Canis lupus familiaris: one gene and its partner. The protein of the gene in region 1 interacts with the protein of each later gene in a biochemical or structural test. Links are inferred from orthologs where the notes say so. Each region holds a gene or a part of one and is shown in the gene's direction. Other genes may lie near its edges.

Evidence for each region.
Region 2: the proteins of ATF7IP (region 1) and MBD1 form a complex in vitro, tested with the Homo sapiens proteins (2 studies listed by BioGRID). The link is inferred for Canis lupus familiaris from reciprocal best matches to the Homo sapiens genes ATF7IP and MBD1.

The regions. Positions count from the first base shown.
Region 1 is NC_049248.1:14,001,681-14,005,797, forward strand, and holds the start of ATF7IP (activating transcription factor 7-interacting protein 1), read left to right. Parts: upstream 1-1,308; 5' UTR 1,309-1,545; coding exon 1,546-1,562; intron 1,563-2,454; exon of another isoform or gene 2,455-2,514; intron 2,515-4,117. UniProt on the Homo sapiens protein: Recruiter that couples transcriptional factors to general transcription apparatus and thereby modulates transcription regulation and chromatin formation. Can both act as an activator or a repressor depending on the context.
Region 2 is NC_049228.1:78,689,943-78,694,075, forward strand, and holds the start of MBD1 (methyl-CpG-binding domain protein 1), read left to right. Parts: upstream 1-1,331; 5' UTR 1,332-1,506; intron 1,507-2,871; 5' UTR 2,872-2,887; coding exon 2,888-3,006; intron 3,007-4,133. UniProt on the Homo sapiens protein: Transcriptional repressor that binds CpG islands in promoters where the DNA is methylated at position 5 of cytosine within CpG dinucleotides. Binding is abolished by the presence of 7-mG that is produced by DNA damage by methylmethanesulfonate (MMS).

The DNA.
Region 1 (4,117 bases):
AATTAATGTGGCTTGGTTAAGCATAATATATATATATATTTTTATCTAATGTAGTACTTAAGTCTTTACATACATTATACAGTTTGCCCCTTGGAGAATATGTAAGGATCTTTTAAGAAGCTGAGTTAGTTAATTGAATTTAAAATAAAAAACGTTGAGTTACGTTTGTCTTATTTTTGAATTTTATTATGTTAAATTTTAAATATATACAGAAATAGAATGAAATAACTCCATGTGCCCATCACTCAGCTTGAACAGTTATCAATTTGTGCTAATCTCCTTTAAGCTGTATGCCTACCACTTTCCTATACCCTTAATGAATTTTAGTAAATATCTATATCATGTGATGGATAGACTCAAAATCACATAGGGCAGCTAGATCTTAAGAAGGGTAAACCAAGGAAAAAAGGAGAAGGTAGATTTCTTAGATGATATGAGCTACCAAGCAAACAGTTCCTTTCTGTGCTCTTGTCTTTCTCTTCTCTTGATGGGTAGGTTACTTCCAAGACCAGATATGTTGGGATCTCTCTCAAATTTGTCTTGTTAGTATACTCACTTTCATATTGAATTTTAGTCTACTGTTCTCCCTTTTTGGTTTTTATCCCCCGGGGTGCCTACATTCCTTGTTTTCCCCTCATATTAAAATGTTGGGAGGTCTGAAGCAGGGAATGAAATTTAATTTGCCCTGGGACCAAACACTCACCTGGAGTTATCTTTGTGGCTATCTGGACTACAAAAGCGAAGAAATTATTTTATCTTTAGGGCAGATTCCTCAAAATAAGCTTTGTTGCCAGTATAGCTGTAATGACTCTAGTCTCTTCCCTGCAGTTATTTAAAATTATTGTCAAGATTCAAAAATTTGACTGCAAGCTTTAACCATTCTGCTAGATTTCAGTACTTGGGGGCTTAGACTCTGTGGTGGAAAAAAAATCTTTAATTAGCCTTCTATAAGTAGAAATTGACTATCAGGATTTAAACAATTTAATTTTCCAGAAACTATAAAAATTGGCACTCTTTTCATGATAAAAGTACTATAAAAGACAAAAAAAAAAGGCCTTGAGCAGACTTTTTTTTTTTTTTTTTTTTTCTGGACTGAAATGGAGGCTTTCTTTCAAGCGTATTCCCTGATGTTTGCTGTGTGTGATTTGGCTCTATCTCTGTAACTGCTAATATGTGGCATGGATTTCAGGCTGTCTGGGATCTGGATGTGCCCAAAGTCTGTATTGCAAGTCCGGATTCACAGGCATTGTGTTACAAAACTGGCTTGCTGCCTTCTCTGTTTTCTGTGTCCTAGGCAGCTGCATTGTTTGTTGCAGTATATGCATTAGCTGTTGTCAGTGTTCAGTTTCCTGCAGACTGACAAAGTGGGAGGGGCTTTGTTTGATACATAGCTGAGTTTTCACTGTGTGAGTTCTTGAGTGCACATTGCAGCCATCTTAATTACACTTTAGTGCAACTGAGACAGTGCAGCTGTCTCAAAATGGCTGCTGACCTGGTCTTTGTAGCTGCTTAGGCAGCAACTATGCCAGTGAGGAGACTTGGCACATGCATCAGGACCAGAGGTAAGAACCAATTACTCTTTATCTTTGACCATTTTAATTAAAGAATACTTGAATTTTACTGAGTTTACATAGCAAGGTGAACTTAGAGCTTGCTTGCTAGGAAGTTGAAATGTTTGCTTTAAGCTTCTTTTAGGGAAACAGTACTTAGGATGGTGAGGTCAAAGGTTAAATTCCTGTAATTTCTCACCATTTTATGTTCTGTCATTGTCAGAACATTTGATCACCACAATAGTGTTTTCTGACCTTAAATAACTTAATATTTTTTTTGTGTTGGATATTTTAGTTTGTTTGATATATTTTTTTTTTTTTTTTGTAGAAATTGAAAACAATGTATTTGCTGAATAGATTTTTTTTGGGAAAGAAGCCATAAATAAGCCTTGTTTCGCATGAAGAGTGAGATTTCTGTGTGTGTGTGTGTGTGTGTGTGTGTGTGTGTGTGTGTTGGAGCTATTGTTTGGTAGCTTTCTGGGAAGAATGTTAATTCTCTGAATATAAGTCATAGCACAGAAAGAAAAAAAAATTTTAACAGATTTTTTTTGTACTCTGGGTTCTAATTCTTTCTCATTATGCTGCCTCCTCTTGGCCATTTAATTCTTTCACATTTTTAAGGGTCCTAACTTTTTATTCTAATTACTTTTTCCTTAAATTGTCATTCAGATTTTTTTTAAATAATAAATTTATTTTTCTGTCATTCAGATTTTGAATTAGAAACAAGTTCATATGTAGGTCTGCATACTCCTTTTCTTTCTAGCTAATGTATTCTAGTGCAAGAGAGCTTAAATAAATACTCAGTTGTTTTAGGTTAATATTAATTGTTGATATCCACTTTAGTCTTAGTTAAAACCTGTGGTATATTTAAAAATAATGTAATTCAATGATTTTGTAAATTTAGTTTCACAGTTTTCAAAAGACTTTAACATTCTTCTGAAGTGGAAACATTTATTGAGATATGGTAAGTCAATAGTGACCCAGAGGGTAAGAAGAATGAAATTTTTATTTACATAATATTTCAGATAGCAGAAATTTTAAACTCTAGTGTTTAAATTGTGGTACTTACTAAAATTTTTAAATAAATGGTATAGTACAATTCTTTAGTTTTGTCAAGGGATATATGAATATATCCCTGACTAATATGACATAGAACAGTAAGTTTTGAACTTTCTAAGTACTGCAACTTTAGAAAACAACTTCTTGCACATTAAATTCTTGTGATTGACCCCTGTATTTAAAAGTGATACATATGATATTTTATTGGTTTGTATTTATTTTCCAATTTAAAAGTATAGTATTACTCTAAGTTTATTTTATAAAAGAACAATTAGGCTTTTACAATGAAAACAAAAGTTTGAAACCAGATTATTTATCACAATTATAATCTTTCATTAGTGTCAGGAGGTTGCTTATTTATTAGGTTGCTTATTTGTAGAACTTTAGTTGCTAAGAGACTGTAGAATTCATTTTGAGAAGTATTCTAGAACCTATATTCTGTATGTTCTTTTTAAATTTCATGACGGTAAAATATAAGATCTATATTTACACAAGTTAACAGTTTGAAATTGCTGTCTTGCCACAAAATTGCATTTATATTTTTTCTTTTTTTGACAAATTTTTTTCTTAATCATTGGTCATTTATTCTTTGGCTTCAAATATATTTGGGGTCACTGATTCAGTTTCATCAACAAATTTAGTATATTTCACTTCATTTACTTACTACTCTTTGAAATTGTTAGGAGTCTTTTATGTGATATAATAGATTATAATAATATGAACATTACATTATATAAATCCAGTAATATGAGGTTGCCCCCAAAAGAATAGAACAACAAATTTAGTGTTGTGAGAGAGATTTTATCCATCATGCCTTTCAGTAAGGTTTTGCCCTAGAGTGAATATGACATAGGAAGTGAATGTGCTATGTCCTTAATCATGGTCATTTTCATACCTCTCATAGTTTGAACCGCTCACTGTATTCAGATATTTTATACAATTCAAGCCAGATATTCAGTTTGTTCTTCATTACTGGAGAAAAACTGGTTAGGTTGAAATTATCAAAGCAGTTTATGTTGATCTTCAAAGTAGGACCTTGGGGAAATTTTAATGATCTGCTCTTTTTGCCTTCTATCCTGGATTATAAAATTTACCTTCAACGTCCACAAGATGACTCCATTGATTATTGCTTATACATGGGAAAATACAAAGTGGTTACTTAGGTTATTATTGCTAATTCTTTCAGGGCTGTGTTGCATTTTTGCAACTATAAGCATAAACTAGACCTCACTGGGATTATTACTTTTGGGACTGATGACAGTTTTCAATTTGTCTGTGCTGAATTCCAGATTAGCTATTAGGCTGCATAATTGAAGGCATAATAAATCTGGGAGCTGGATAATTAAGGTTTAATGTTACTGTTTTGTCGCTATTTGTACTCCCTATTTGTCCTTTTTTTCTGAGCCATTTCTTTAAGCATGAACCTTAAAGAAAATGTTGAAGTTAGTGGAGAGAAACCAACTGAGTTCAAATCTAAATTTGAATTGCTTTTACTACTTCTTATATTG
Region 2 (4,133 bases), on another chromosome or scaffold:
GAAGTCCTCACGCCCTGCATTCCAGGCCCGGGAGCTGCCCCGAATTCCCCGTTTGTCTGTTCTGCCATTCATCTGTTTCTCCAATGGTCCCTGAGTTTCTCCCTGTGCCCATCCACCATTTGACTACCCAGATGCCGTTATCAGAGGGTCTCAGGATTTTCTTCTGTCCTTGTCTGTCCCTCTGTCTCTCCATTCTCTGTGCCTGGGTGGGACTGTGGAGTTTGCTCACTGTTGCCTCACCTCTCCCTGGTTTTGTTAATAAAATTTTGAAGAACCAACAGAGATTACTACTGGTTTCCACTTTATCCAGCTGCATCTGCACTCCCAAACCCCCTGGGTGAAAGGGCTGAGGCACACCTGTATTCAGGAGGAGTTGCAGTATAGAGCTTCGAGTATGCAGTTGGCAACCACCCTCTGCTCTGCAGGAGCTCCCTTGGGCAGCGGACTATGACTTACTAAGGGAGAGCCCAATGACGTACATCCTCAGCATTTCATCTTGAAACAACGGGTATACAGTTGGCGCTATTTCATTATGTGGCTGATTTCCCCCGTGACACCCCCGTGTCAGCATCGACATCCTCCAGATTAGACACGTATTCGCTGACGGCCACAAGGTCTCTCGTTGCCCCACAAACCCCTTTCCGGGCACGTGTGTAACAGAAGTCCGAGAGCCCCCTCCGCCCGGTCGCGGGGCCCAGCGGGGCCCACAGCGCAGCCTCTCTAGGGCGCGCACGCCCTTCTCGGTGGCACGGCCCTTCTGTTTACCTGCAGCGCGGCACCGCCCCCTTCGCCCGTTCTCGCGGAGGGAGGGAGCTGGGGTCGGCTTGCGGTGCGCTCCTCCCCGCGCGCTCCTGCAACTGCTCGCGGGGCGGAGAGGACGGGACACACGAGTTCTGGGGGAGATGTTTCAGGGGCCCGCACAGCACAGCGAGATGGGAGCGAGATGGGGGCGAGAGATGAGAGGAGACCTCCGGCGCCCCCCCTCCAACTACCCCGGGTGGAGACGGCCAAAGAGCGTAGCGCCCCCTCCTCCTCCACGCCCCCTTCGGTTGGGAGAGCGCAGGCGCAAGCCAAGTGGGCGGAGTGGGGAGAAAGTGCCGGTTGGCGGAGCGAGGCGCCGGGGGCTGAACGACTCCGGGTGGGGAGGGGAGAAGAGGGGGCGGTGCAGCTGAGGCCGGCTGTCAGGGCGCAGGCGCAGTAGGGCCCGGGCCAGAGGCGCGCGCCGCCGTGAGACTAAGCGCGCAGGCGTGGGGCCCTCCCCACTAAGGGCAAGCGCGGGAGGGGCATTAGCGCGCAGGCGTCGTCTGGGGGGCGGGGCCCTAGAGGCGGGCAGCGGGTTTCCGGTTCCGGGAGCAACGAACGGCCGCGGCAGCGACAGCTACCGCTTCAGAGGAAGCGTCTGCGGAGGAGGAAGAAGAGCAGGGCAAGGCGGGAGTCACAGGCGGGACCCTCGGCATGGGTCCACGGACCTAGAGCGGCGGAAGCTACCGGCCCGGTGCCAAGCTGGTGAGACAGTTGTGGGGGTGGAAGTGGAGAGCGCTCAGGCGTCGGGGAGGGAAGCATTGAGGCTCCGAACGCTGACGGAGAGGAATGAAGGGCCCTCAGGCCGATGAGTGGGAGGAATGGCGGCGTGGGAATACTGACGGGGAGGAACGGGGAGGTTTTGGCTGAGGACGAGGAGGAATGGGGCTCAGTGTGCCGGTAGGTGGACGTGTCGGGAGTCTGGACGAGGACGGAGAGGAGCGGAGAAGGATCCGAACGCCGAGGGGCGATCTCGGTGCCTTCGGGGTTAAGGAGTGAGAAGTGGGGGTTTAGAACGCTGAGAGGGAGACAGAGGGGCCCTCAGGTTGGTGACGGGAAAAAACAGGGGCACTCGGATGCCGAAGAGGAGCGACGGGGGCTCAGATGGAGGAGGAGAAGGAATAGGGCTTCTGAAGGCCGAGGTGGGGATGGCACGATCCTGGGACACGAACAGGGAGGATTGGGGGGTGGCTTCAGAGGGCTGGGGGGGGGGAATCAGGGTCTCTGAGAGTGTCAGCGGACGGGAGAGCAAGGGACACCGACGGGGAGGAGTGAAGAAACTGCTGAAGACGAGATGAATAAGGTCTGGGGATGGAGGTCGGTGAAGACTTGTGGCTCAAGACGCTTACAGGCAAAAGGAGGAGGCAGCGTTCAGGCTGAGGAACAGAAGGAATGAGAGGATAAAGAGGGGAGAAGCTGGGGCTCTCGGGCAGAGGACACAGGAACCTGAGGCAGTGGCATGACAAGAGGACATCAGAAAGGGAAGGAGGGAAGGAATGGGAGAGCTACAGGACTGAGAGGAGTTGGGCACTCCTGGGCCAACCAGGGGAGTGAATGCGAGGTTAGGGCACCGAGGGACAGTCCTGGGACCTTGGCTGAGGATGAGCGGGATGGGGCCTCTCGGACTGATAATGGGGAGTATGGATGGTTCAGGGTGAACCCTCAGGGGAGGTGTCAACACCAGTAGGTCAAAGACCATGTCTCTTGAGACGAATGACAGGTTCCTAGGTTGGCAGAGGGGAGAAGGGATGGGGTCTCAGGCTGAAGATGAGGAAGAGGTGGGGATCAGGACATGGAGTAAGGAATGAGGAGCTTTGGGTTGAGGATACGGCCTGTTAAGTTAAAAGTGGGGCTGCCAGGTCCGGAAGGGGAGGAACGACTAGCCTCTGGGCCCAGCACACGGAAGAATGAGGTGGGACGGGGGATTTTCTCTACTGTATTGACGGGTTGCCTGTGGTAGGGACCCGGCGTGGGATGGGCATTAGTAAATAGCAGCTGTTGGTGTGGCTAGAGCACAGCATGTTCTCTCCTAGAGCCTCAGTTTTCTCCACCGTGCCCTCCCTGTTGCAGGCCGCTGCTCCTTCCCATGGCCCCCATGGCTGAGGACTGGCTGGATTGCCCAGCCTTGGGCCCTGGCTGGAAGCGCCGTGAGGTCTTTCGAAAATCAGGTGCCACCTGTGGACGCTCAGACACCTATTACCAGAGGTACTGGGTGGGTTGTGGACGGTCATAGGTAGGGCTGAACCCGCTTAGGCAGGGTGAAATAGGGTGAAATTAGGTGTGGTTAATTTTGTGGGTGGGTTAAAATTACACATGTATAGTCAATTCTTATTTGTAGATTCCATGTTTGCAAATTTGCCTACTCACTAAAATTTGTGCCCTTAAAGCCCATATTTCCTGTACTTCACAGTCTTTCACAGACCTGCACAGAACAGCAAAAAATCTAAGTAGCCTAAAACACGCATTCGCAGCTGAGGTGCTGCAGTGCTGTCTAGTGTTCTTAGTGCAAGAAGTCTGTGATGGACTTTAAGGAGAAAAATGTGATGTGCTACGAGGAGAAAGTACACATTAAATAAATTTCAGGCATGAATTGTAGTACTATTAGGTGTGACTACAATGTTAATGAATCAAAGATGTGGTACATCTAGAAAAAGAAAGGGAAATTTTCTAATTTGTCCGATTTCCAGTTTCTGGAAAGTGCTAAAGTAACTTGTATAATACATAATGGAGCTAAGGAAAAGGTGGGCTAAACTTGAAGATCCATAAGGCAATGACCAGTAACAGTGTAGTGGACAGTGTGAGAGGCTTAAGGCCAATGACGTTGACGATTGTGTTACCCCTGGTTAGGAAAATGTTAAATTTATCTCAGCTAGTGCTGACTGGCTCACACATTTCAACAGGTGAGATTGTGAAAAAACTTTAAATTGGCTTACAAGGTAGGTTCTGGAGATTGAGAATTTGCAGACGAATTTTAAAAATAATAAGTGTTATATGGGAAAAGTGTCACATAGAAGAATAGGTTTTCAATAACTGATGAGACTGTACCTTATTTTACAAGTACCTTGGTAAAAGTACCTATATAACAGTACTCCAAAGCTGGCTTTAAATCATTCGAAGGCCATACATAAGACAAGGTTACACAGAATCAGTTGACAGAAAATCAGTTGAAAGAAATGTCACCTGAGGCTCTCAGGAATCTAAACTGTAGTTTCACTAGGAGCCAAGATTCTATATTCACTAATTCACGTGTGCAACGTGACTTTATAAAACATTTCATGAATGAGAACCGGCTATAAATATGTGAACATACGTATTTATAAGAGATTTATATA